7 linked regions of the Oryctolagus cuniculus genome follow. The protein of the gene in region 7 binds, or shares a complex with, the protein of the main gene of each other region. Links are inferred from orthologs where the notes say so. Each region holds a gene or a part of one and is shown on either strand. Other genes may lie near its edges.

Evidence for each region.
Region 1: TAF5 (region 7) and KAT2A share a complex: the UniProt entries of both Homo sapiens proteins name them as parts of the TFTC-HAT complex. The link is inferred for Oryctolagus cuniculus from reciprocal best matches to the Homo sapiens genes TAF5 and KAT2A.
Region 2: TAF5 (region 7) and TAF8 share a complex: the UniProt entries of both Homo sapiens proteins name them as parts of the TFIID basal transcription factor complex. The link is inferred for Oryctolagus cuniculus from reciprocal best matches to the Homo sapiens genes TAF5 and TAF8.
Region 3: TAF5 (region 7) and TAF12 share a complex: the UniProt entries of both Homo sapiens proteins name them as parts of the TFIID basal transcription factor complex. The link is inferred for Oryctolagus cuniculus from reciprocal best matches to the Homo sapiens genes TAF5 and TAF12.
Region 4: TAF5 (region 7) and TAF13 share a complex: the UniProt entries of both Homo sapiens proteins name them as parts of the TFIID basal transcription factor complex. The link is inferred for Oryctolagus cuniculus from reciprocal best matches to the Homo sapiens genes TAF5 and TAF13.
Region 5: TAF5 (region 7) and TBP share a complex: the UniProt entries of both Homo sapiens proteins name them as parts of the TFIID basal transcription factor complex. The link is inferred for Oryctolagus cuniculus from reciprocal best matches to the Homo sapiens genes TAF5 and TBP.
Region 6: TAF5 (region 7) and TAF4 share a complex: the UniProt entries of both Homo sapiens proteins name them as parts of the TFIID basal transcription factor complex. The link is inferred for Oryctolagus cuniculus from reciprocal best matches to the Homo sapiens genes TAF5 and TAF4.

The regions. Positions count from the first base shown.
Region 1 is NC_091448.1:20,670,822-20,674,945, reverse strand, and holds the start of KAT2A (histone acetyltransferase KAT2A), read right to left. Parts: upstream 2,801-4,124; 5' UTR 2,736-2,800; coding exon 2,397-2,735; intron 2,257-2,396; coding exon 2,133-2,256; intron 1,880-2,132; coding exon 1,734-1,879; intron 1,647-1,733; coding exon 1,557-1,646; intron 1,374-1,556; coding exon 1,192-1,373; intron 1,112-1,191; coding exon 920-1,111; intron 42-919; coding exon 1-41. Other genes in the region: HSPB9 (heat shock protein beta-9), read left to right, coding at 3,797-4,124. UniProt on the Homo sapiens protein: Protein lysine acyltransferase that can act as a acetyltransferase, glutaryltransferase, succinyltransferase or malonyltransferase, depending on the context.
Region 2 is NC_091436.1:127,850,257-127,853,756, forward strand, and holds part of TAF8 (transcription initiation factor TFIID subunit 8), read right to left. Parts: intron 3,088-3,500; coding exon 2,948-3,087; intron 2,668-2,947; coding exon of another isoform or gene 2,655-2,667; exon of another isoform or gene 1-2,654. UniProt on the Homo sapiens protein: The TFIID basal transcription factor complex plays a major role in the initiation of RNA polymerase II (Pol II)-dependent transcription.
Region 3 is NC_091438.1:143,057,259-143,061,393, reverse strand, and holds the start of TAF12 (transcription initiation factor TFIID subunit 12), read right to left. Parts: upstream 2,801-4,135; 5' UTR 2,654-2,800; intron 292-2,653; exon of another isoform or gene 190-291; intron 1-189. UniProt on the Homo sapiens protein: The TFIID basal transcription factor complex plays a major role in the initiation of RNA polymerase II (Pol II)-dependent transcription.
Region 4 is NC_091438.1:61,355,766-61,359,697, reverse strand, and holds the start of TAF13 (transcription initiation factor TFIID subunit 13), read right to left. Parts: upstream 2,801-3,932; 5' UTR 2,701-2,800; coding exon 2,674-2,700; intron 1,824-2,673; coding exon 1,745-1,823; intron 1-1,744. UniProt on the Homo sapiens protein: The TFIID basal transcription factor complex plays a major role in the initiation of RNA polymerase II (Pol II)-dependent transcription.
Region 5 is NC_091436.1:47,885-51,384, forward strand, and holds part of TBP (TATA-box-binding protein), read right to left. Parts: intron 1,468-3,500; coding exon 1,073-1,467; intron 1-1,072. UniProt on the Homo sapiens protein: The TFIID basal transcription factor complex plays a major role in the initiation of RNA polymerase II (Pol II)-dependent transcription.
Region 6 is NC_091442.1:1,310,106-1,313,605, reverse strand, and holds part of TAF4 (transcription initiation factor TFIID subunit 4), read right to left. Parts: intron 1,643-3,500; coding exon 1,553-1,642; intron 689-1,552; coding exon 443-688; intron 1-442. UniProt on the Homo sapiens protein: The TFIID basal transcription factor complex plays a major role in the initiation of RNA polymerase II (Pol II)-dependent transcription.
Region 7 is NC_091446.1:26,646,026-26,650,075, forward strand, and holds the start of TAF5 (transcription initiation factor TFIID subunit 5), read right to left. Parts: upstream 2,801-4,050; 5' UTR 2,758-2,800; coding exon 2,199-2,757; intron 1-2,198. UniProt on the Homo sapiens protein: The TFIID basal transcription factor complex plays a major role in the initiation of RNA polymerase II (Pol II)-dependent transcription.

The sequences.
Region 1 (4,124 bases), on a different chromosome or scaffold from region 7:
AGTTGGCCCCGTAGATCTCCTCCTCCAGCATGGACAGGAACCTGGGGGGAGGGCGCCGTCTGTCCACGACTCCGCCCTCCCGCCAAAGGCGGCCTGGGCCGGGCCCCCGGGGGGCTGCGGCTGTGCCGTGGCCAGAGACAGACCCTGCGAGGCGCGTCTGAGAGCAAGCTCTGCCCTGCGGGAAGCCCTGGCCACAGGGGCAGGCACGGCCCCCTGGCTCCCGGGAGCCTCGAATGCAAGGTGAGAGCTTCGGACACACCAAGCAAAGGGGCCCAGTTTGGCCATCTCGGGCAGCACAGGGCCACAGGGCCCGAGCTAAATACCAACCCCGTAGCCAGGCAGGGCACCACGTCCCCCTGGGTCCCCCTGCTCCCCGCAGCATCAAGATGACTAGGAATCCACCCCAACTCACCACCTCCTGTTCCCACCTGGTGGCAGGGGCACTCAGGGGCCCGGATTTGACAGCCAAGGCTCTCTGAACAGAGAAGTCACGAGCCAGGCTTAAGATGGGAGAGAGGTGTGGCACACGGGGGGACACTGGCACAGAAAGGACTAGCGCGGGGCGGACACTGCTGTCACCTCAGGTGTCAGCGCTGGCTTCTTGGAGCTCTGTGGTGGGAGGGATTCTGAGGCTGGGTCCAGGCCCCCATGGGAAACAATTAGTAACGCCTAGCAGGGTGTGGGAGGGGCAGCGTTAGCCGGGGCCATGTACCTGCCATCCCCAGACTAGGCCGTGCAAAGGCAACTACTAGCAAGCTGCTTCTGGGCCATGGGCAAGTCTGCCAGGTAGACGCCCAGATCCCAGAAGGCCCATGGAGGGAGAGGAGGGACCAATCCAGGAAGGCTTCCTGGAAAAAAGGGGACAACAGGGAGGACGTGAACTTGGGGCAAACTCGCAGTGGGCCGGAACGAGCCTTACTTGGGGAAGTGGGTGAGGATGAGGGTCCTCTTCTCCGGCACCAGCTTGTCTTTCTCCACTCGGAACTTCTCCAGCAGCTGCCGCCGGGTAACAGTGAAAATGGACCGGAGGAGGCTTCGCCCGAACACGTGAGTGGTCTCGTAGCGAGGCAGGCTGTCGCAGCTCTGGGGCACGTGACAGTAACACAGCCACCTGGGGGTGGGGACAGCAGGGTGAGAGCACATGGGGAGGTCTACAAATCCCCCCCCAGCCCCCGCCCGGGCAGGGCCTACCTGGTGTAATTGACCTTGTAGGTAGCCACATCCTCCGACTGGGACCTTTGCCGGAACTGGGCGGGCGTCTCCAGCTTCCAGTAGTTAAGGCAAAGCAGGAACATCTTGGAGAGTTCGAACATGGTCTGTCGCTCCCGGGGAGCCAGGTGGCTAAACTTGTACTGCACGAAGTTCAGCACACCCTGGGAAGGGGTGGGGTGGGGAACAAATCCAGGGAGGAGGGCTAAGAAGCCAGCTTCGTGACAAAGTGCCCCCCCTCCTCCACCCCACTCTGCAGTCAGCACAGAACACACGCCCCCGGCTGATCCCCTCTGATTTTCAGCTAGAGCAGGAGGGAGGACCCAGCTCCCCGTGCCCCACCCCACCTGCTCAATATTAGGCTTCTCAAACGGGGGGCTGCCCAGGGACCCCTCCACCACAGGCCGGGTCATCTGCAGGATGCATTTGCGCAGGAGCTGCAGGAAGAGGGAGGGAGGGAGGGAGGGAGCATCAGAACTGAGAGCCCCCCTGCCCCCCACTCACGCCCGTTCGCGGAAGCTCACCTTGAAGAGGTAGAAGTAGACCTGTTTGGTGTCCGTGTCCTCCTCCTTGTGCACCGACATGAACAGATTCTCCACATCCACCACCATCCCCAGCAGCCGGTTGATCTCATCCTCTGACACATTCTCCAGGTGGGACACGTGGTCAGCTGCAAGACAGCCAGCCCGGGCCGCGGGGTGGGGAGGCATGGACGCCCTGCTCGGCAGGGAGCCAAGACTTCCAAAGGTGGCCCCGCATCTTCCCGGCTGGCACTTTCCCTTTCTCCTCCCTCTCGGCCTGCCTGCCCCCAACCCCACACCTCCTAAGGTCCTGAGACGAGGTTTCCTGGCAGCGAAATCAGGCTGTCCAAGCAGGCCCCAGCACCTGGCGCCCACCACCTGCAAGGGCGCTGCCTGCCTTACCCAAGGGGTGCTCACAGCTGCGGCACAGCTCGCTCAGGTTGGCAGCAGGCTGCTGCAGGTCCATGCGGGGAGCAGTAGGGGGCTTGGGGTTTTTCCAGCCATTACATTTGCAGGTTTCATTGGCCTGGAGGCAGGAGATAAGTCAACGACCCCCGCACCCCAGGGGCAGGGGCCGCTAAGCGTCCAGAGCGTCGCCCCCCATTCCCACCCGAGCCCAGGGATGCCCTCAAGCCCCGCCCCTTTCACCCTAGGCCCCGCCCCCACCTTGCAAGCGGAGAAGACCCCTAGCTTCTCAAGCTTCTTGGCGCGCGGCAGTCCCCGGACTTGCGCCTTCCTCTGGCTGGCGCGCTGCTGCTGGCTCAGGCCAGGTCGCGCCGGATCCCCCCCGCTGCCGGTTCCCCCACTTCCTACCCCGGGCCCTCCAGTCCCTGTGCTCCCGGCTGGGGCTGCAGCCGGGGCGGGGGCTGGTGCCGGAGTGGGAGCCGGAGTCGGGGCTGAAGCAGGGCTGGGCGCAGGAGTAGGAGTTGGGGTAGGGGCTGGGGACTGAAGGGGCCGGGGCTGCGCAGCCGGGACTGGGGCCGGGGCCTGAGAAGGTTCCGCCATGGCCTCCCCCGCAGCGGAGCGGCGCCGCGCTCCCAGCCCTAGGGCCGCATGGGCAACCGGTGCGCAGTGCGCAGGCGCCACAGGCCCGACGCACGACGGGAGTTGTAGTCTTCCACCGCCGCGCCCCTGGCCTCCAGCTTCCAGACTTTTCCGTCCTTTCTCTTGGTACCAGGCAGCCAAGGGGAGCCCCAGCTAGCACCCCAGACTTCCTGGCTCCCAATTTATCTGGAAGGCGTCCGGGACGGCTCCGGTTGCTGCCGTCTTAGGGACAGGGAGGTGCATCCCAGGAAATAGGCGCCCCCCACGGGGGCCGAGGCCCCATCCCGTGAGGCCCAGACGCGGGGCTGCAGCCGCACAGGGGCTGAGACGTGGCCGAAGCTCTGAGCTTCGGTGGCTACCCCGGGCGTGCGCTGTGTACCATCCACCTGTACTGCGTTGTGCACTTTGTTATCCTTCAACGGAGAGAATTTAGTATCAAAACACAGAGTTCCAGGGGCGCGGCTGTGGTCGCAGCAGCGACAAGGAAAACCACTGGGACGCGGGATGCCCGCGCCATCATCTTTGTGGCCCCAGACCCCGAGGACAGGGAGGGATGTGCCCGCCTCCCTCGTGCGTGTGCTCAGGGAGAAGCAGGGCACGCCGCGATGGAGGACCTGGAGGACCCCGCCCGCTGTCTCTGCCAGCAATGGGCTTCCCTGCCCCTGGCCGGTCGGTGGCTGCCGAGTGTCTGCTCCCGGCGTCCAGCCTCTTCAGTGGCTCCATTGTGCCGTGGTGGAGAAAGGGCAGGGCCAGGGTAAAAGTATAGCGGGTGCTCCTGAGCAACTGACAGCCCGCTCCTGGAGGCAGGACGGGCAGAGCTGACCCCGGACCCAGCCGAAGTTTGCGGAAGTCAAAGGGAATGAGCTGCCCCCGCCTGACCCGACCCGACCCAACCCGACCCGGGGGAGCCGCGCGGGGCCTCGTGAGGACCCCGCTCCCGTTTCCTTGGAGTCCACACGCCTGGCCGAGCTCGGGCCTTGCGTTCGGAGCCTCGTGCCCCTGAAGAGCAGTTGCTCACTTGGATGCAGCGGGTCGGCAGCAGTTTCTCCAACGGGAACCAGGTGGCGTCGAGGAGTCCCAGTGTGGCCCTCGCTGAACGCAATCAGGTGGCCACACTGCCGGTGCAGCTGCTGAGGGACCACCCGGCCGCTGTGCAGGACCATGGCCGGGCCGCAGACGATTTCCAAATGAAGATGGACGCGCAGGGCTTCGCCCCCGAGGAGCTGGTGGTGCAGGTGACTGGGCAGAACCTGACGGTGACCGGCCAGCGGCAGTGGGAGTACGGCAACCCGGGACTGGGTGGTTACCGCATGGAGCAGAGGGTGCAGCGGCAAATGCAGCTACCGCCGG
Region 2 (3,500 bases), on a different chromosome or scaffold from region 7:
AAAACCAAAATATTCCAGGAAGAGAAAAAATGGGAGAAACAGTTGAAACAGAATTGATGGGACACTGCTAAGTATTAAAGCCGGGTGAGGGGTACGGATGGCTTCAGATAATCTCCTGTCTGACTTTGTGTTGGAAAATTTCTCAAACTGAAGTTTTACTAAGTTCCCAGGGGTACTTAAAATTACAGAAGGGCTATGCCTTCCTTTTCTGTCCATAGCCTTGTACAGGGCCATAACTTCCAAAGACAAATCACGTGTAAAGTTTACAGCACTGTTTATTTACAAAGTTTTTATTATAGGATTTTCATAAGTCACATTTTTAAACGGGCTGTTTACTACTGTTTCTGGCCAAGACCACCCCCAAAGTTATTAAAAAAATAGAAATTTATAAATATGCATCGAGACTTATGCAACTCGCATACAACAGCAGCAGTCGGGTCAATGCCTCACGTCGCCTGGCCACCTCCCGGTGCCTCCCTCCAGAATGGAATTACAGCAATTGTGGCAACCCTCTCCCGCCTCCCACTTAACCCTGCAGGTGCCTGGCTGGGATGGCAACGGCACAGGATGAACGGGGAACTGCAGAAACGACCCGGGCGACAGCTCCTGAGGGCAGTGAGGACAGCAAGCCGGATCCGCCACGCCTCCAATCTGGGACTGTGCTTCAACCCACTGCGCCCAGAACTGCTGAGCGGCAGACCAACCCCGAGGGGTCCACTGAGCCTGGCCTGACTGCTTTCAGCAGGGGTCTCCGGTCGCTGTGAACCTGGAAGCTCCTACGCGGTCCAGGGTTGGGAGATCCAGCTGTCTCGGTGGTGTCTCTTCTCCAGTTCCTCACGAGCAGGTCCTCCTTCCGGGAGGCAGGGCACAGTGCCCTAAGGACACGGGGCCTGCAGCCAGGTCTGCACAGTTTTTGGGAGTCCAGTGGGGGGTGTGAGAAGTTAACTAAGGACTGTAAGAGTCTGGCCCAGGGAACAACACGTCCTTCCCGTGTGAATCTCCAGGTGGCACTGGAGTTTCTCTTCCTTGGTTTGGTTTGAAGATCTTTTCCTTCTGAGATCTAAAGATACCTGCGCGCTCTATATCTTCTTTAAAAATCTGTTCTCTGGGGACAGGCATGCTGGCGCATCTGGTTAAGTCACAGCATCGGATGCTGCCATCACAGGGCCTAGTCCGAGTCCCAGTACCTCAGCACTTCCAATCTGGCTTCCTGCTAATGTACCTGGGAAGATAGCATATGACGGCCCAAGTCCTTGCCTTCCTGCCCTGCCACGTAGGAGACCAGGGTGGAGTTCTTGGCTCCTGGCTTTGGCTTGGCCCAGCCCTGACTGCTGTGGGCATTTGGGAAGTGAACCAGTGGATGGTATCTCTCTGTGTGTGTCCTTGTCATTCTGCCATTCAAATAAATAAGGTTTTTTGCTTTGTTTTTTTAAGGTTTACTGATTTGAAAGGCAGAGTTACAATGAAATCTTCCATCCACTGGTTCATTCCCCAAATAGCTGTACCAACAGCTGGGACTGGGCCAGGCCAAAGCCAGGAGCCGGGAACTCTACTGGAGTCTCCCATGGGGTGGCAGGTGCCCAAATACTTGGGCCATCTTCTGCTGCTTTTCTGCTGCATTAGCACGAAGCTGGATTAGAAGCGGAGCAGCTGAGACACGAACCAGCGCACACATGGGATGCCAGCATTGCAGGTGTCAGCTTAACTTGCTGTGACATGACGCAGGTCCAGTCTTAAAAAAAAAAAAGTTTCTGGCTCGCAAAGTTCACTAAGAATGCAATCTTGTCCCCAGGAGGTGATGAGACCGAACAGACTGAGACCTGGAGACCACCTGGGCTGGGCCGGCAGGCTCCTGTCCGCCCACTTCTGCTGGCAGTAGGAACACGGCTTCGGGCAGAGCAGCTGCTTTCTCGGCTTCCAGAACACAAGGGCCAGGTCCAGCCCTCAGTCCCACCCCCACCCTGCCTGCCCCTTTCCTGTGTGACTCGATGGCTGTACTACAAGTCGCAGCTCAGACACAGACTAGGCTTCTGTCAGGCAAACCTCTTTTCCCAAGCGGGGGGCAGGCGGCAGGTCCTAAGCACACCTTCCGTGGAGGGAGAGCCAGTGATGAGTCTCTCGGGAGCGACGTGCAGCCGCAGTGCTGCCCCCCGTGCCACCTTGCTCCACGTTCACCTGTCTGCTCATGGCTTCCGAATCCTGCCTGCCTCCGGTCAAAGCCGTGCCGCGTGCGCTGCCCATTTCCAACACGATCAAGGGCTGCAGAGTCACTTCCCATCGGTGCACGAGGGTACCCGGGGCCCAGCTGAGGCGAGAACTCAACAAGATTCCGGGATGATCAACCATTGTCCCAGGTGTGATTCAACAGTAGGGATACAGGCCTCCTGGCAGGACACAAGGCAGCAACGTGTGCCCTTCTCCCTGTCGCCTTCCCTGGGCTTGCAAAGGAATTGAGTCCCACGGTCACAAGCGAAGTCCCTGGCTGAGGCTGCAGGCAGGAGGCTGCTGCGTGGCCAGCTGACTGAGAGGCCTCAGGACTGCGTCGGTGTTTTCTCACCCAAACCTCCCAGGTTGCCGTCACACCCATGCCCATCACAGCCTCGGCCATGAGGGTGGCGTCCCCATCCCTGTCCAAGCCAGGCTTCCTTCTCAGCTCACGAGAGGGACCTAGAAAGAAGAATAACCATGGAGCCTGCCTGGTGGGTGCCCCCCTCCCGACCTGCTCTCCTCCTAGGGGAGGCTGGGGCCCGGGTGCGAGGGTGGCCCGCAGGCTACGGACACGCAACCGCTCAGGAACAAGAGGCACACAGGGGAGCTGAGCGGGGAGAGGGCGGGGGAGGTTTCCTCTCAGCACAGAGCTGCTCCCAAGGTGAGCTCTCTCCCGCCGAGAGCAGAAAGGCCGCCCTGGGCGAGCAGAGCAGCCTGTCCTGCCCCGGCTCTGACTCACTTCTTCCTGCGGATCTTGGGCTTCTTCACAGGGCGCAGGTAGGGGTTGTCGATGACATTCTCCTCCCCGTTCCGGCTGCCCGGCAAGGAGGGGGCCTGCTGCAGCACAGACGCGTTTTCCTTCTCAGCTCCAGAATCATCCTTTGAGCAAAAGCCGAAATAAAGCAGAACACCAGCGGCATGAGGAAAGAGACTCTGCCCGCCACAGGAACTGACCCTTTCACTGAGCGACCCCAAGCCTGGACGCTGCCTTCCGTCCATGGTTCCCACCTCTGCCGCAGGCGAGACACGGCCCAGGCAGGCACTGGCCCGGAGGGGAAAGCGAGACTGGAGCACGCGACATGGTCTCGACCCTCTTGAGAAGTCAGGGACGTGAGTTAGGAAGGATGGAGATCTGGGAGAGGCAAGCAGTTGGGGCTACGATTCAGTTGCTCCAGGGACGAAGCCCAACCCGTGGGGAGATAAACAGAGAGGAAGGTGACCTTGGATGCCGGAGCGATCGCCTGCACAGCCGACTCCTAGCCCAGAGCTAACTGAAGTCACAACAGGTTTCC
Region 3 (4,135 bases), on a different chromosome or scaffold from region 7:
CCAATGCTGGACCACAAATGAAGTGAAAGAGAACATTTTAAATATGCAGATGAGAATGTTAACTCAGGAATAAGTTTTTTCTATCTTGAATATCTATGCTTCTGTGAAAACACATTTTAGTTCTCCTTGAATATTATACTACATATGTACCCAAATCAGTTATAGTCCTTTTTTTATGTTAATATTTTTAAAAATATGGAATGCTTCATGAATTTGTGTGTCATCCTTGCACAGGGGCCATGCTAATCTCTATCATTCCAATTTTAGTATATGTGCTGCCAGAGCGAGCACAATATAGTCCTTGATATTAACAAAATTTAGAAGGAAGGTGTTGGAGTTTGTGGCATAATGAGTTAAGTCACACTTACAATGCAGAAATCCCATAGCAGAGTGCAAGTTTGAGCTCTGGTCTATCCATTTCTGATCCAGCTCCCTGCTAATGCACCTGACAAACAGAGGAAGATAGGCCTCTGTCTCCCATATGGGAGACTGGGATGGAGTTACTGGCTCCTGGCTTCTGCCTGGCCCAGCACTGGCCACTGCAGCTATTTGGGGAGTGAACTAGCAGACGGAAGATCTCTTTCTGTCACTCTGGCTTATAAATGAATAAGTTTTTTTTTTTTTTTTTAAGGAAAGTGCTTTCATTCAATAATATGCTTGTATCACTATTACTTCTGTTTTGTTGATGGGCAAATCAAGACATGAAGAATCCATTTAGAAAAGTAGAAGCTGTAGAGACACACAGAATTGGGGCTGGCTCATTCAGTCCTATTCAATTTCAGGCAAAATGCTTAACCTCTCTGAACCTAGTTCTTTATCTGTACAATGGGACTAACAATATCTAATTTGTGGGGCTGTAATAATTAAGTGACACAGTAGGTGAAAAGTGCTTAAATGGTACCTGGTTAGTCTGAGTAGGTTTCAGTAAAAGAAAAAAAAATACTATTATTAAAAAGGAGAAGTAACTGGTCAAGTCTCCACACCATCCTTATTTAAAAACAGCCATCCCTTGTGGTGCAGTGGGTTAACTTGTCACCTGCAAAGCCAACATCCATTATGAATGCTGGTTCAAGTCCCAGCTGCTCCACTGCCAATCCAGCTCCCTGCTAATGCGCCTAGGAAAACAGGAGAAGATGGCCAAAGTGCTTGGGCCTCTGCCACTCATTTGGGAAATCCAGAGGGAGCTCTGGGCTCCTGGCTTCTGCCGGGTCCGGCCTTGGCAGTTATGGCCATTTGGGGAGTGAACCAGTAGATGGAAGATCTCTCTCTCTCTCTCTCTCCCTTTCTGTAACTCTTTCAAATAAATAAATCTTTAAAATAAACAAACACAGCCATTCCTAGTAAATATTTTTGCTATAAATGTAGGGCACAATTTTCTAGATAGCTTATTTTAAAATAAATAAATAACATTAGGTTTCATTTAAAAGTTTTCTTACTGGTGACATTCACTGTTTCAATGTCAACACACTAAGACTCAAAATAAAGCATTAGAATCTATCAGAATCTTCCTCCTGAGTCTGAAGAGAGAACAAAGATTCTAGAAGCACTTTCCAAGGAACATTAACCAAGCGTCTCCTATTTACCGTCCACAGGATACTTGATCAAAATTATGCTCTAAGTAACCACTGTCTCACTGTGACTCTAATCCCTCTTTGGACTTCGGGTCCCTTAAATGTAAACTAGGCGTTGGAAAGAGATGGTCTTTTGGGGCTCTTCCATCTCTGATATTCTTTTATTTGAGATACAGAGCTCTGTGCTCCGTCAGGGTTTAGTGGAAAGAAATTTAAAGCACTTATCAAGTATACAACTGGGTTCAAAGTGTTTTCAACTTCACATCCGATTCGCAAGAATGAAGCAGAAAATGAAGATGCTTCTATGTGGGCTTCCAAGATTAAGTATCTGACACACACAAGCCTGCCAAAAGCCAAGCAGGCAGCGCGAAGGAGGACTCCTCCTCCCCTGAAAATAGAAATGTATACAGAATACATATATCCATCCCTGTATCCTTTAGCACTCTGGGTCAGAGACTACTTGCAAACGGATCACTCTCTTTCCCCAGTCCTCTCTCTTTCCCTTGAAGGCTGATCGCTTACACCCACAGCCGCTTCGATTCTCCGCTTTTAAGGAACTCGGATCCTCACAGCCCCGTTCCTTCCGAAACTTGGAGTCTCAAAGCCCGGATCGCGTGCCCACAGAAGCCCCAAGTCTTCTCCGCCAGCTTCGGCCCCTCAGGAAGCTAAGTCTTCGCAGCCCACCCCGGGTCTTCACGGTCCCGCTCCTGCCTCCTAGGAGCCCGAGTCCTCACTACTCCACTTTCACCTCGCCGGAGCCCGTGTCTTCACGCGCCACTCCGTTCCGACCCTTTCTCCTCTCAGGAGCGCGGGTCCTCACAACCCTGTCCCTCTCAAACCTCTCTCCCTTAGGTGCCAGGGAACTCGCATCCGTCCCCGTCTCCTAAGTCCCGTCGGCAGCCCGGACCCTCACAGCCGCGTCTCCTCCGAGCGCGATCCCCTTAGTCCCGTCCCAGGAGCCGGATTCCTCACAGCCCCGTCTCCTCCACAGCCTGGTCCTTCAAACAGTGACCCACTGTGGGTCTGGGTCCTGACTCCCTCCTCCCGCTCTTCTTCCTCTACTGCCAGGGCCCAACACTCACAGGCAGCAGCGTCTATCTCCCCATGATATGCGGAGACTGCCCCAGTGAAGCGTTCGTCTCAGCAGCCGGTCCGACTGCGCGGCCCTCCCCGAGTACTTCCGGCACCGCTCCCCGCCTCCAACCCGGAAACGCGCGGCTCTTCCGGCCGGCGGGCGCGCGCCTGGCTTGCGCAGGCGCACACCGTCCTCCGACATGCGGTCGCGGTGCAGGGCTGGAGCTCAGCTTCGGTGGCCGCCGTTTTTCCCGCGTGCGGTTGTCTGGCAGCGTGGGCGAACGCTGTGTCTTCTGCCCTGGCGTTTCGAACCCTGCCCTAGGTGTTGCTTCCAGACACTGTTTGTATCACCCGGTAGCATCATCGATAACTGATGCCCTTGGATGGCTGTGAGGTCGCCATTTTTGGTTAATGCCTTTGTCGTGGCATCAGGACGGGGGTGTCACCTGGGACTGCAGCATGCTGTGTGTATTTTTTTGGACTCTTGCCGAGGAGTTGGCAACACAGTAACCTGGAGACGACAGACCGGTTCTGCCTGTGAATTTGCAGTGAAGCGCTTATTTTCCGCTAGCAAACAGTGCTAAGCCCCTACCTCCCATATGTCATTTAATTATCTAGAGGGAGCCCGTGAGAGATTAAGCCGGGGTCTGGCTGATAAGGTCAGAGCCTTAACTTGAACTCAGAACTCCCTCAAGCTTGGATGCCTTCAGTTCTTTCCTCTGCCAAATACTTTATGAGAACTGCTGTATTTTTGCTAGTTGTAAGTTTGTAAGCAAGACCTGGTTCCGGCATCCGTGGGTTCAGAGTAAGACGCGTGCGTGCGCGTGCATACACACACACAGGGCTGTGGCAGGAAGGGCTGCCAAGACCGGTGCAGCAACCTGCCCTCTTTGTCTTCCTGTCTCCCACCCTCATCCCACTACACTGCCGCTGGGTTTACAGTAAGAGCTTCGTCACATTAGGCTTTCGGCTGTCTGCCTCGCGTTGTTTCCCTGTCTGCTACATTCATTCTTTTTAGGGTCTGGCATATCAGTTTTTGTTGTTGAACTGTACATCTTTTCAAGGCCCAGTTTGAATGTATGTTCATTCAGCAAATGAGGCTGACGTGGCTCAACAGGTTAAGCCGCCCGTGGCGCTGGTTCTAGTCCCAGCTGCTCCACTAATAATCCAGATCCCTACTAGTGTGCCTGAGAAAGCAGCAAAAGATGCTGCTCTCCTTGGGGCCCTGCACCCGCATGGGAGAGCCAAATGCCAGATGGAGTTCCAGGCTCCTGGCTTTGGCCTGGCCCAGCCCCGCTGCTGCAGCCATGTGGGGGTGAAGCAGCGGATGAAAGATCCCTCTCTCTCCTTCTCTAACTCTGCTTTTCAAATGAAATCTTAAGTTTGTTGAATCTGTGTGCCACGACTTTTGCTGTATGTACTGGTGGGTAAGAAAGACAATATCCTTGTGAGTTTACAATCCAGGGTGAAACAGAGCAAAAGATAAGAGG
Region 4 (3,932 bases), on a different chromosome or scaffold from region 7:
GGCTGACATTCCACATCAGAGTGCTTGTTTGACTCCCATCTACTCTACTTCGAATCCAGCTTCCTGCTGCTGTGATTCTGGAAGGCAGCAGGTGATGGCTCAGGTACTGTGGCCACTGCCACCCATGTAAGAGACCCAAATGGCATTCTGGGCAACTGGCATCCGCCTGGCCTAGCCAAGCCTCAGCTGTTGTGGGCATGAGCGAACCATCAGATGGAAGATCTCTGTCTTTTTCTGTCACTCTGCCTTTCAAATAAATTTCAAATAAAAAAGACATACTGATGTGCAGTTTTAACATCACATGTAAACTGCTCGTATCTGTCCCAACCTTAATAAACAGGTATTCTTAAATCTGTGTTGTCTCATCTCTCAATACCCAGCTATATAGATATAAAGGAATCCGTACTGGGAGATAAAAAGCTATTCTCATGATGACTTTTAAATGTTGTCCTGGACTATCAGCAGTAGGAACAGATCTCCTTTCTTCATGCTGCTGTCTAAAAAGGGTAAAATCTGTCTACTGAGGGAGTGGGACAAAGCACTAACACATTATATTATCTTCATGCCATTGTATGTCTCACATTGTTCCTCACCTTCCTGCCCTGTTCACTGCCCTTAGTCCAAAGTCTCAACTTAGCCCCTACCCTCAGCACCTGTTTCAGTGCCCACAGTCAAAAGAACTCCTGCTTCTACTGTTGCAAAGGTAAGGGCCAGGAAAACGTGGAGGTATATTGTTTTGTCCTGAATTGAAACACTGATCATATTTGTTAGGAAACTGGTGCAGTTTTATCCATGGCGCTATCTACACCATGATTTACATCCTATGCCCCGGTTCTCACAGCCATTGCTGAAAGCCATGTAGCCACATGGCCCAACCACCAGTGTCAAGCTCCACCCCCATCCTAACGGGATTCGCTGCTCCTGTTTCCCTGCCCGCCCTCTGGCAAAGTTTAAAAGGGCCTGTTCCTGAACAGGCGGCACTCTTGGCTCTTCTCTCCTGTTCTCTTGGCTCCTCTCGTCTCTCTTCTCTCCTCACTAGCTCCTCTACTCTCCGTGTCTCTTTCTCTTATACTCTCCTCTCCCTTTTTCCCTTCATCACCTCACCCTTCCGGTCTGCTGGCTTTTCTCAATAAACCCTTTCCCTTACTCCGGAGTTTGGTGTGTTTTTGTGACAGCCTAACAGAAAGACATAACAATATTCCCTCACTTAAATTCTGTACAATTTAAAACACAATTATACGTTAAACTGGGGTTAGTATCTGTGATTCAAAAATTAAACTGAGGGGCTGGTGCTGTGGCGCAGCAGGTTAAAGCTCAGGCCTGAAGCGCTGGCATCCCATATGGGCACCGGTTCTAGTCCTGGCTGCTCCTCTTCCGATCCAGCTCTCTGCTATGGCCTGGGAAAGTAGTAGAAGATGGCACAAGTCCTTGGGCCCCTGCACCCGCATGGAAGAAGCTCCTGGCTCCTGGCTTCGGATCGGCACAGCTCCAGCCATTGCGGCCATCTGGGGAGTGAACCACAGGATGGAAGACCTACCTCTCTCTCTGACTCTGCCTCACTCTGTAACTCTTTCAAATAAAATAAAAATAAATCTTTTAAAAAAAGGCAAAAATTAAATTGAACTTTACTGGCAATTTTGAGAATATTATCCTTGCAAACATTTTCAGAATATAAATCTATTCCAAAGGACATGTCCAAAAGTTTGCATGATCTATAATAAAATCACTGTCAAATACTACTTACATTCTTTAGAAAAGAGTCTCTTTCTTTTACCCTGTCCACCTTCTGCACCTCCTCCAATTTCTTCATTTTCTTCCTCAAACTAGAAGTTAAAATGTATATATAGAAATGTCAAGTGATTGCATTGCATTTGATATTTTAATAACTTGCTTTCATTTTTAACACTAATATCAGGCCAAAACGCTTAAAAGCAAGCACTAAAAAATCATGATAACTTAGCACTAAAGAGCCCTTAGAGACTACCTAGTCAAAATTTCAATTCCCGCAAAAATGGTTTCTACACTGTCCACAACAATCCTGCCTAGACACGTAAGCCTTTTAACAGCCGCAAGTTCTTTTTGTTTAAAACCAACTAAGTTGGTCTACTGCTAGCCAGTGTTGCCATTCAAGGACCGATACTGAATCAAAGCCTACCTCCCTGCAGCAAAAAAGGAAAAATTTTAACTAAGCACCTGCTTATACAGTGCTAAAACCTTTCCTTATCTGTTTTAACCTTATTTTATATCAAGAACAACCGATGCTGAAAGTTAAATAACTTGTTCGGTGAGAATGGAGATTTTGAAATCCAGGCTTCTGATTTGTGGTCCGTTATTTCTCCAACACTTCACAATAAATATCCAATTCTGTTAGCAGCTAGATTGTTGGTTCATTTAACGAGCACCAACAAATACGAGTGATTAGCTCTGACGATCGTCTAGTTTCACAAAGTGTCTAGCAGATTCAGCCCGAATCCGAAGGGAAAGGGGCTACCTTCCCACTACTTCACGTCCTGCCCCGGAGTACTAAAACCATGAAGCTGAAGGAAAAGACAAGCACAACTGGTCCCCGAACTCTCTCGACTGAATTCACTAAGGAAAACACCCCATTCTGAACTCTGCTTCCGTCACTAAGCCTGAGCGAAAGGGAGGATTGGGACAAAGGCGGTCACTCACGGTGGGATCTTCTTCCTCATCTGCCATTACACTAGCCCGACAACCTACTGTGCCGCGCCGGCTCGCTCTCAGCGGGTTTTTACTACTTCCGTTGCGTCACTTCCGGTGACGTAGGGGGCGGGGCCGGGTCCCCGCAAACACGCCTGGGAGGGGGAGCTGCCTAGCGACCGCTGAGAGAGACGGTCTGTAGGGTAGCAGCGTGAGCTCTGGGTTCTGTAATCCCGAGGAAGGAACTAAAATTTAGCAAACTGAAAGAAATGCACCAGGCAGTGTGTATCCTCTTATCACCCTACATCTCCTTGTGCGTGTTGAATCCACCTTTCCTGACCTGGAGCGTAGGAGGGCGATCCCGCGGTCTTGCTCTGAGGGGTGTATTTTAAAGTGCAATGAGTTACGCCTGCACTATTGATCCCAAGCACTTTGTTAATTATTGTGGGGTACTATATTTCACTACTAGTTCTCAAGGGGGCGCTATCCTTAGAGACGATTTAAAATTTTCTGGAGAAGAATTTGGGTTTTAACAATGAGAACACGCAGTAAGAGGCTGGAGTTGACATAAAATATCCTGCAACCTAAGGGATGATGCCACACGATAAAAAAGTCCAATAATACACACGATTTCTCTATGTCCTGCTGAACATTCAATGACTGAAAATATTATTTTATATAAACTATTTTTCCCATGCTTTTAATGAACATTGGATTTCCTGTGACTGTTACTTCTTCAAAATTGGTGATCTGTTGCATTTTGCTTTGTTTGGAACTTATTAAGAGGAAATACTGCCACCAAAGGCAATATCGCTTGTAATTTAAATAGTGCTCACCTGGAATCTGCCTACATTTGTAGTTCCTACATTCGAGGTAAATTTACATCTAGGTACAAGCAACCACATTGTTATTATACCTCCTGTGTTGTCATGCCTGAGAATTTACGTGTTAAAAACATATTAATAGGCCGGCGCCGCGGCTCACTAGGCTAATCCTCCGCCTTGCGGCGCCGGCACACCGGGTTCTAGTCCCGGTCGGGGCGCCGGATTCTGTCCCGGTTGCCCCTCTTCCAGGCCAGCTCTCTGCTGTGGCCAGGGAGTGCAGTGGAGGATGGCCCAGGTGCTTGGGCCCTGCACCCCATGGGAGACCAGGAAAAGCACCTGGCTCCTGGCTCCTGCCATCGGACCGGTGCGGTGCGCCGGTCGCAGCGCGCCGGCCGCGGCGGCCATTGGAGGGTGAACCAACGGCAAAGGAAGACCTTTCTCTCTGTC
Region 5 (3,500 bases), on a different chromosome or scaffold from region 7:
CTTCCACCCGTGGCACTGGCATCCCATTTGGGTGCCATTTCTTGTCCTGGCTGTTCCTCTTCTGATCCAGCTCTGTTTATGGTCTGGGAAAGCAGTGGAAGATGGCCCAAGTGCTAGCCCACCGTACCCGTGTGGGAGACCCAGAATAAGTTCCTGGCTCCTGGCTTCAGATCAGCCCAGCTCCAGCCTTGCGGCTATTTGGGGAGTAAACCAGTGGATGAAGAAAAGGAAGAGACCTTTCTCTTTGTCTCTCCCTCTCTGTAATTCTACATCTCAAACAAATAAATCTTTTTTTTTTTTTTTTTTTGACAGGCAGAGTGGACAGTGAGAGAGAGAGAGAGAGAGAGAGAGAGAAAGGTCTTCCTTTGCCGTTGGTTCACCCTCCAATGGCCGCCACGGCCAGCGCGCCGCACTGATCCGATGGCAGGAGCCAGGTGCTTATCCTGGTCTCCCATGCGGGTGCAGGGCCCAAGGACTTGGGCCATTCTCCACTGCACTCCCGGGCCACAGCAGAGAGCTGGCCTGGAAGAGGGACAACCGGGACAGAATCAGCGCCCCGACCGGGACTAGAACCTGGTGTGCTGGCGCCACAAGGCGGAGGATTAGCCTATTGAGCCACAGCGCTGGCCCAGTAAAATCTTAAAAAGAAAAACACAAGAAACAAAACAAAACTTTTTTTTTGAAAAAAGGGAAGGCAGCTTTCTTAAGCAGAGGTGAAGCAAATTTTGAGACACAATTACCATTAGTGCCACTCTGTTAAATAAATGGATCCATCTGGAAACAACAAACAGTAATTTAGCTCTAAGAGAACCTTCTAGGGCAGGGGTGGGGAACCTTTTTTCTGCCAAGGGCCATTTGGGCATTTATAACATCATTTACAGGTCATACAAAATTATCACCTTAAAAATCAGCCTACTATAGATGTAATGAATTTTGAGTTGTGCCTGAGGCTGCCTTGGCAGGCCCTGAGCAGATCACCTCACAGGCCTTACACAGCCCTGGTGCTGGACATGCCCCACCCCTGCTCCAGGGCGAGGGACAGCAGACCCACAACACTGGCTATGGTACTCACTGCAGCTGTGGTACAATCCCAGAGCTCTCCGAGGCCGGTGTGGCAGGAGTAATAGGGGTCATGGGGGTCATGGGGGAAGGGTAGAGGGGAGTGGTGCCCGGCAAGGGTGCGGTTGTAAGAGTCTGTGAATGGAAGAGCTGTGGTGTCTGGCCTGAGACCCCCTGCGCCGCCTGCTGGGATGTAGACTGCTGAACCGCAGCCGCAGCGGCTGCCACAGCCTGTTGTTGTTGTTGTTGCTGCTGCTGCTGCTGCTGCTGCTGTTGCTGCTGCTGCTGCTGCCTTTGTTGTTCTTCCAAGATAGACAGACTATTGGTGTTCTGAATAGGCTGCGGTGTCAGTCCTGTGCCGTAAGGCATCATGGGACTAAAGATGGGGATCCCAGGAGTCATGGCGCCCTGTGGAAAGCAAGGCAAATGCCAGGTTAGACTGGCTGGTATTGCATGTCTGTGAAACATGCCTGGTGGAACAGGTAGGAGGTATAAAGACAGACACCCCTCCAGGGATAACAGGATCACTAAACTTGACCAGAAAGGTCTTAGAAATATCACTTTCTTCTTTTTTTTAAAAGATTTATTTGAAAGTCAGAGTTACACAGAGAGAGGAGAGGCATAGAGAGAGAGAGAGAGAGAGAGGTCTTCCATCTGATAGTTCACTCCCCATTTGGCTGCAATGGCCGGAGCTGCACCAATCCAAAGCCAGGAGCCTAGAGCTTCTTCCGGGTCTCCCACGCTGGTGCAGGGGCCCAAGGACTTGGGCCATTTGCTGCTTTCCCAGGCCACAGCAGAGAGCTGGATGGGAAGTAGAGCAGCGGGGTCTCCAACTGGCGCCCATATGGGATGCCGGCGCTTCAGGCCAGGGCGTTAACCCACTGCGCCACAGCGCCAGCCCCCACTTTCTTCTTTAACAGTAAATAAGAGCTTACAATTTGGAATCCCACTGCTGCTTATTACATGCAAGAACTTGAGAAAGTTGCTTAACCTTTCAAACATATCTAGCAGATAATAATGATCTGAGAACATTAGAAAGAATAAGGGAGATAAACAGAGTGAACATACTTCTCTGCTTAAACTATTATCCTGGGGCTGGCACTGTGGTGCAGCGGGTTAACGCCCTGGCCTGAAGCACCAGCATCCCATATGGGCGCCGGTTCGAGACCCGGCTGCCCAACTTCCCATCCAGCTCTCTGCTATGGCCTGGGAAAGCAGTAGAAGATGGCCCAAGTCCTTGGGCCCCTGCATGAGTGTGGAAGACCCGGAAGAAGCTCCTGGCTCCTGGCTTCGGATAGGCACAGCTCCGGATGTTGTGGCCAATGGGAGAGGGAACCATCGGATGGAAGACTTCTCTTTCTCTCTGCCTCTCCTCTTCTCTCTCTGTGTAACTCTGACTTTCAAATAAATAAATAAATCTTTAAAAAAAACCCTATTATCCTAGCATATAGATAGCATCCCATCTCAATTGAAATGGATACATTCCAGGTTAGATGATAACACAATGATAGGCACACAGGAAACACTGAAGTATTGGCCACAATCATGATTATTGGAATAATATTCAAAAAGGTTGATCACTTGCTCTTGCAAAAGGGTAAACCAACAAAATTTACCAAATATATGTTTACTTTTTTTTTTAAAGATTTATTTATTTATCTGAAAGTCAGAGTTACACAGAGAGAGAAGGAGAGGTAGAGAGAGAGAAAATTTTCTACTTGCTGGTTTACCCTCAACTGGTTGTAATGGCCAGAGCTGAGCTGATCTGAAGCCAGGAGCCAGGAGCTTCTTCCCGGTCTCCCACACAGGTGCAGGGGTCCAAGCATGTGGGCCATCTTCTACTGCTTTCCCAGGCCATAGCAGAGAGCTGGATCGGAAGTGGAGCAGCCAGGATTCAAACTGGTGCCCATATGGGATGCCAGCACTGCAGGTGGGGCTTTACCTCCATCAGTTTACTTTTTACTTCTAAGTATTTACAGACAAAGGTTACACTTAGTAATTTACAAAAAAGCCTTTGGGAAACACAAAACAGCTATTTTTCCTATATTAAAGATAAGAAACTGACATACCCAAACAAGTTAAATGACTTGCCCAAGATCACAGATCTCATGAGTAGATGAGCCAAGATCACAGCCAGGGTTTCCTGAAACCCAGGCCAATGCTTTCCCGCAACACCAAAATCCTGGGAGCCCACAGAGACTGAAGAGCTCATGATGTCCTTGTGACCCTCAGTGTTACATGCGACATTCTGTGTATTTTCTGGAGAAGGTCTACAGTTTTCGTTACATTCTCAAATACATCTAAGACCCCAAAAAGTGTCAAACTGCCTCACCAACATAGTAGCAGGAAAATAAAAGGGGAGCGGGCTGGTGCTATGGCGTAACAGGTAAAGCCACCGCCTGTGGTGCCAGCATCCCATATGGGCGCCAGTTTGAATCCTG
Region 6 (3,500 bases), on a different chromosome or scaffold from region 7:
GCACTTTAGTCCACGAGGAAGAAGGCCCCTGGACACCTCGGAAAAACTACATGAGCATCTGGTGAGCCCACTCTGCCTACTGCCTCCACCCACACATCCTTCCTCGGGCCGGGGCTGCGTGGATGAACCACGTGCCAGCAGCCACGGCTCCCTACACTACAAAACACGTGGACCCACAACTATGGCCACAGGCCCCTGCCCCACGAGTCCAGGGCCATCACTCCTGACCACAGAGGAAGGCTGCCGGGAGTCATCACCACCATGTGTGGTTCCTTTAACACATGAACACCGCTGACCACGCCCACGCCAGCGGGGCGGAGCCCACGCCCTCACTCCACTGCCGAGCAGCACGATAGCAGACCCCAGCCCGGCCCCCACCTTCCACCCTCACTGAGAAGCCGGCCGAGCTGGCTGCAGGGCAGGTGGGCCTTGCACTTCGTACCAGCGGGGCGGGCTGCGCCTGCTTGCCCACGCCGACCTGCGTGGGCTGCGTGAGGCTGATGACGGGGGGCTGCAGGGTGCTGGTCACGGTGGCCGCCGTCTTCCCAGCCGTGCGCTGCACGGAGCTGCTCAGAACCACGGCCGTGAGCGCGGTGGTGGCCTGCGAGGCGGGAGGCGGCTGCTGCTGGCTCTGCTGGATGAAGGCTGCGGAGTCCGGCGTCAGCTGTCGCAAGGCGGGTAAGCTCCTCTGGGCGGAAAGACAGGCACAGGGGTCAGGGAGCGGCGCGCGCGGCAGCCGGACACGGGCCAGTGCTGTGGTGCAGTCGGCTGCGCCTCCGCCTGCGGCACCAGCATCCCACTCTGCCTGCCCTGCTTCCAGTCCACTCTCTGCTGTGGCCTGGGAAGGCAGTGGAGGTTGGCCCAGTGCTTGGGCCCCTGCACCCACACGGAGACCAGGAGGAAGCTCCTGGCTCCAGCTCAGCCCAGCCTTAGCCATTGCAGTCATCTGGGGAGTGAACCAGCAGATGGAAGATCCACCCCAAACCCCCGTCCCCTAACTCTGTCCTTCAAAGTAAATAAAATAAGTCGTTCAAAACACAAGAACCAAAAAGCAGCAGCACCAGGGTAGGAGTCGGGCAGGTGTCAGAGCGGCCGGCTGAGGCCCCAGCCCCACTCCCAGTCCAGCTCCCTGCTCATGCACACACGCTGGGGTGCGGGCACAACGGGAGGTGAAGACCCCAACGCCTGGTCTCTGCCCCGCCACGTGGGAGACCCAGACTGCGCTCCGCTCGGCCCAGCCACAGCTGCCGTGGGCGAGGCAGCAGCTGCGAGAGCTCCATCTGCCTCTCAAATAAAAAAAAAGAAAAAAAGAAGTTAAGGGGAGCTCTTCATTAAAGAACAAAAAGCACTGTAGACTCAGTGCTGGGACAAGAGGCCCTCCCTGGGCAGACCCCGCCCTGCTGGGCCAAGGCGCCCCAAGCCGCCCCAAGCCGCCTCTTCCGAAGCAGCGCAGAGCCCGCGCCAGCGTCGGCTCGCGCCGCAGGAAAGCCTGGCTGAGCGAGCACCCCGCGCCTGCGCCCCGCAGGGCCTCGCACTGCCCCCTGCTGATTACCTTCAGGAAAGGCACAAGGTAAGGTTGAGGTGAGGAGTTGAGTTCGCGGTATAACCTGCTAGTGAAATCTTCTGCTTCGATTTTTCCATCCTGAAAGAGAAAAGCCAGGCTGAAACCCCGCGGTGAGCAGACCTCCCGCACACGTAGCCACGCTGAAACCCCGCGGGAGCAGACCTCCCGCACACGTAGCCACGCTGAAACCCCGCGGTGGCAGACCTCCCGCACACGTCTCTCCCGACACGCCCAGACCCCTGGGCACCCAGGCCAGGGCCGCCCCCCGCACACCAGCGCGCCCCGGCTGGGGGCCACGAGGCGTCTGCCCGTGTCTGAGCGTTCGCTCAGGGCTGAGCAAGCCCCTCAGCACCGGCAGCTCTGCGGGGACGGCTCCACGCTCAAGGTCAGCACAGTGAGCTGGGGGTCAGGGCGCCTCTCGGGAGGGAACAACGCTACCACACCCGCAAGGTCCTCGAGGGGCCAGCCGCGCACAGAGGAAGCGAGAGAGCCCAGGGGGCCGTGCGTGGTGTGGCAGCTAAGGCCGCCGCCTGCGGTGCCGGCATCCCCTATGGGTACCGGCTGGGGTCCTGGCTGCCCCCCTTCCGATCCAGCTCTCTGCTGTGGTGTAGAAAAGCAGTGGAAGATGGCCCAGGCCCTTGGCCCCCGCCCCCGTGTGGAAGCTCCTGGCTCCTGGCTTCGGACTGGTGCAGCTCCGGCCATTGTGGCCAACTGGGGAGTGAACCAGTGGCCGAAGACCTTTCTCTCTCTCTCTCTCTCTGCCTCTCCTTCTCTCTCTGTGTAAATCTGACTTTCAAATAAAATTAAATCTTTAAAAAAAAAAATTTTGCTCAAGAAATTACAGGAAGTTTGGTGGAAACAGGGGAGAAAAGCGAGATGGGCAGGAACTGGACCACACGGAGCCGGCTGCTCTCAGGAACTCGGGGCGGGGGGTGGGCAGCAGAAAACGCAAGACCCCTGGCAACAGCAGCGTGGACACGGGCAGAGACCGGCCGTCCAGACCACAGCATGGACACAGGCAGAGACCCCGGCCGTCCAGACCACAGCGTGGACACGGGCAGAGACCGGCTGTGCAGACCACAGCGTGGACACGGGTAGAGAGACCAGCCGTCCAGACCACAGCGTGGACACAGGCAGAGACCCCGGCCATCCAGACCACAGCGTGGACAAGGGCAGAGACCGGCTGTGCAGACCACAGCGTGGACACGGGTAGAGAGACCAGCCGTCCAGACCACAGCATGGACACAGGCAGAGAGACCAGCAGTCCAGACCACAGTGTGGACACGGGCAGAGACCGGCCGTCCAGACCACAGCGTGGACACAAGCAGAGAGACCAGCCGTCCAGACCACAGCGTGGACACAGGCAGAGAGACCAGCAGTCCAGACCACAGTGTGGACACGGGCAGAGACCGGCCGTCCAGACCACAGCATGGACACAGGCAGAGAGACCAGCAGTCCAGACCACAGTGTGGACACGGGCAGAGACCGGCCGTCCAGACCACAGCGTGGACACAAGCAGAGAGACCAGCCGTCCAGACCACAGCGTGGACACAGGCAGAGAGACCAGCAGTCCAGACCACAGTGTGGACACGGGCAGAGACCGGCCGTCCAGACCACAGCGTGGACACGGGCAGAGACCGGCCATCCAGACCACAGCGTGGACACGGGCAGAGACCAGGCTGTTGTAGACCTCAGAGTAGACACGGGCAGAGACCGGCCGTCCAGGCCACAGTGTAGACACGGGCAGAGACCGGCTGTGCAGACCACAGCGTGGACACGGGCAGAGAGACCGGCCATCCAGACCACAGCGTGGACACGGGCAGAGACCAGGCTGTTGTAGACCTCAGTAGACACGGGCAGAGACCGGGCCCTGATTCTGACCCAGGACGCAGAGTGCCGTTCATAAACAGGATTCGGTTGGAGAGGACGAGGAGGA
Region 7 (4,050 bases):
GAAGACCTCTCTCTCTCCCTCTCTCTGTAACTCTGCCTTTCAAATAAATATTAAAATTAATAATATTTAATAATTTAATAATTAAAAGTAATAATAAATATTAAAAGTAAAATGTAGGCATTTTTAGAATGGGAAGGGCCACACCTAATTTTTTAAAATATATTTATTTATTTATTATTTGAAAGCAGAGGCAGAGAGAGAGAGAGAGAGAGGTCTTCCATCCACTGGTTCACTCCCCAAATGGCTGCAACAACCACAGATGGTCTGAGCCGAAGCCAGGAGCCAGGAGCTTCTTCCAAGGCCTGAGGATCTGGGCCAGCTTCTACTGCTTTCTCAGGCCACAGAAGAAAGCTGGACTGAAGTGGAGCAGCCAGGACTTGAACCCGTGTCCATATGGGATGTTGGCACTGCCCCACACCTAAAACTAACTCAATTGTATATGCTTAAAGCAATTTCCATAACCACTATTTCAAGGAAGAAGACAAAGTATCTATTTCTTTTTCTTTTTTCTTTTATTTTTTTTGACAGACAGAGTTAGACAGTGAGAGTGAGAGAAAGGTCTTCCTTTTTCCGTTGGTTCACCCCCTAAGTGGCCACTACGGCTGGAACGTTGCACCGATCCAAAGCCAGGAGCCAGGTGCTTCCTCCTGGTCTCCCATGCAGGTGCATCCTCCACTGCCTTCCTGGGCCACAGCAGAGAGCTGGCCTGGAAGAGGAACAACCGGGACAGAATCCAGCACCCCAACTGGGACTAGAACCCAGGGTGCCGGCGCCGCAGGCAGAGGATTAGCCTACTGAGCCGCATCGCCGGCCCAGAGTATCTATTTCTAATATAGGAATATCAAAGTTACATCTGTCAATCAAATTACTTTGGGTAAGTGGAAATTTAAATTGCAATAATAATACAGTTACGCTTTCTATGGCATAAATGTAATTCTTTGGGTTACTCTAATGGCCTCTTTTCCTCCTTACTGACTTCTCAATTATGATCTAAAAACTGATTTAGTTTCAGAATCAAGAGATGACAGTAAAATAACCAACAATATAACTCATTTTATAGTTCATTCACAAAATTCAATATTAAGAAGAAATTCCTCCCAACCACATTTTGGGCATTTCTATCTATGAAATACAACACTATGTATTCAAACTTCACTTCTGGCAATGCTGCAAAGATTAGGTCACATAAATACAGATTAATTTGGCTAGAGGCTCTGCAACATATAATTTAATTCAATGAATATTTATTGTTGGTTCAGGATCACCTTCAAGATCTTACATTGTGTATGAATTGTACTGCAAAGACTTATGACATTTACTGGAAGAAAGGTGTGGTCTCGGGTGTCAGGGATGGAGAGGAAAGAGCCTATCAGCACAAGGCATTTTACAGATATTACATCTGAGTCTCATAAAAACTCAGTTAATAGAAAAAAAAAAAAGTAACCTTAGGAAAAAATGAGTCAATCAACATCACACAAGTAAAAGCAGCAGAGACAAAGAGGTCTGTCCACCTTATGGCTCCTAAAACTTAGAGTTCTCAAACTTCACGACCCATCCATACTTCTTGGAAGCACCAACTCAAAAACGCAGGTTCCCAGACTCTACCTCTAAGGGTCTGATTCCCTCCGTCTGAAATGATGCCCCGAAGACACAGCACTGCTGGTGCCTAGCCCGTATTTTGAGAAATGCTGGGTACACCATGTTCCATCACTCCCTGGCTACCGAGACCCAAGGCAAGCTCCTTGGGATCGCTCAAGAAATCTGTTTCCTTGTCTCCAAAATAGAGGTCATGTCCGCCTCAATGAAACTGTGAGAACCGAGACTGCCAAGTATTTACAGCTTAAAATACGCCAGTACAGAATTCCACAAAGACTGTCGCTGTCAATGCAGACTTGCCCAAAGCTTAAAAGCCCAAACGGGAGAAAAGGGGCCGAAGCCTGGAGGTCCCCGCCTCCCCGCGCCCACCTTCCCCACACAGCTCAGATCCACAGCTCTGTTCAGCCTCTCGCTGCAACTGACAGCTCAGACGAGGGTTGACTGCGCAGCCGGCGCACTCGGGAAAGGGGCGGGCATGTGGCCCTAGAGGCGGGCCCAGGAAATTCAAAACAAGCCCGCAGAGGTGCAGGCCTGCCAGCCCTCGCCTTCCCGGCTAGCTCCCCTTCGCGCCGGCCCGGCTTCCCCGGGACCCCCCGGCTCACCTTTCCCCGGAGCCGCAGGACCTGAGGCTGAGCCGGAGACAACCGTCGCCCCCGAAGCGCCGGTGCCCGGAGGGTCGGGGGCCGCCGGGCCGGGGGCCGAGGCGGTGACCCGGCTGAGAAGCGAGCTAGCCGCCTCAGCGCCGGCGCCGTCCACCTCTCCCGGGGCTCCGGAGCCCGCTACTGCCTCTTCCAGCAGCCGGGCCTCGCGGCGCAGCGCCTCTTCGGCCTCGCGGAGGTTGCTCTGCCGTAGAAACTGCAGCACCGCCAGCAGAGTCTGTCGGTCGTGGGGAGCACCAGCCTCCGAGGCAGCGGCAGGTACCGGAGCCGCCCCCGCCGGGGCAGCAGCGGAGACAGCCACCGCGGGCTTGGGGGTCCCGCCATCCCCGCCGGCCGACGACGCCGCCGCAACGTTCCCGCCACTGCCGTTGGGGCCGTTGTTGGTAATGCCGACGGTGCCCTCGCCTGTGCCGTCACCCGCCTGCGGAGGTAGCAGCGTCGGTGGTCCCTCAGACTCTAGCTTGACCGCCACCTCCGTCTGCTCCTCCGCCAGCGCCGCCATCTTGCGGCTGAGCCACCTCGCGCCGTCAAGCGTGATTGCGTTTTCGCCACATGGAGGGCGGGGAGGAGCATTTCACGACAGCTCTGGTCGGCTATTTACGGCAGTAGGAGGAGCGAGAGAGAAGGAGAAAAGGGCTGGGAGCGAGAGCAACTTTCAAAAAATGAGCGAAAGGCCGGCAGGAAGTGGGAGTTGGTGACCGCCTCTATATTTGCCTGACCATAATTACTGTTTATTGCAGGCCAGTTATATTCAGGCACTGTGATAGACGATCTTCGTTATTATATGGAAGCCTTTAATTCAACAGTCTTTAGAAGTGGCTTAACTACAACCCAGAGAGGTTAAATAACTTGCTGAAGTCACACACAAGAAGTCTTAAGTGTCACGACTCAAAGCCATGTTCTTAGCACTAAAGCACGCGTCGTTTGCCCGAAGGATGCTTCCAAGATACTGCTAATGTTTTGCATTTTGATGTGGATAGTGGTTACTTCCTTTTTTTTTTTTTTTTTTTTTTGGCAGTTCTTACAAATCGAGTTGCATGCTTAAATAATTTTGTGAACGTTACAGCATACATATAAATATTTTAAAGATTTATTTTTTTATTTGAAAGAGATAGAGACAGAGAACGAAGTCTTCCATCTGGTTCACTCCCCAGTTGGCTGCAATGGCCAGAGCTAAGCTGAGCTGATCCAGAGCCAGGAGCCGGGAACTTCTGTTGGGTCTCCCACGTGGGTGCAGGGGCCCAAGTACATGGGCCATCTTCCACTGCTTTCCCAGGTGCATTAGCAGAGAGCTGGATCAGAAGACTTGGGCACTGGAACCAGCACCCATATGGGATGTTAGCACTGCAGGCCGGGGCTTTAACCCTGTGAGTCATAGCACTGGCCTCAGCATATATATATATATATATATATATATATATATATATATACATACATATACATTTAAGATTTTTATTTCTTTATTTGAGAGGTAAAGTTACAGACAATGAGAGGGAAAGGCAGAGAGAAAGGTCTTCCTTCCGTTGGTTCACTCCCCAAATGGCCACAACAGCCGGAGCTGTACCCATCTGAAGCCAGGAGCCAGGTGCTTCTTCCTGGTCTCCCATGCAGGTGCAGGGGCTCAAGGATTTGGGCCATCCTCTACTGCTTGCCCAGACCATAGCAGAGAGCTGGGTTGGAAGAGGAGCAGCTGGGACATGAACCAGCGCCCATATGGGATACCAGCAGTGCAGGCAGAAGATTAACCTACTGCACCATGGCACTGGCCCCAGCATATACATTTCAATAAAAAGTT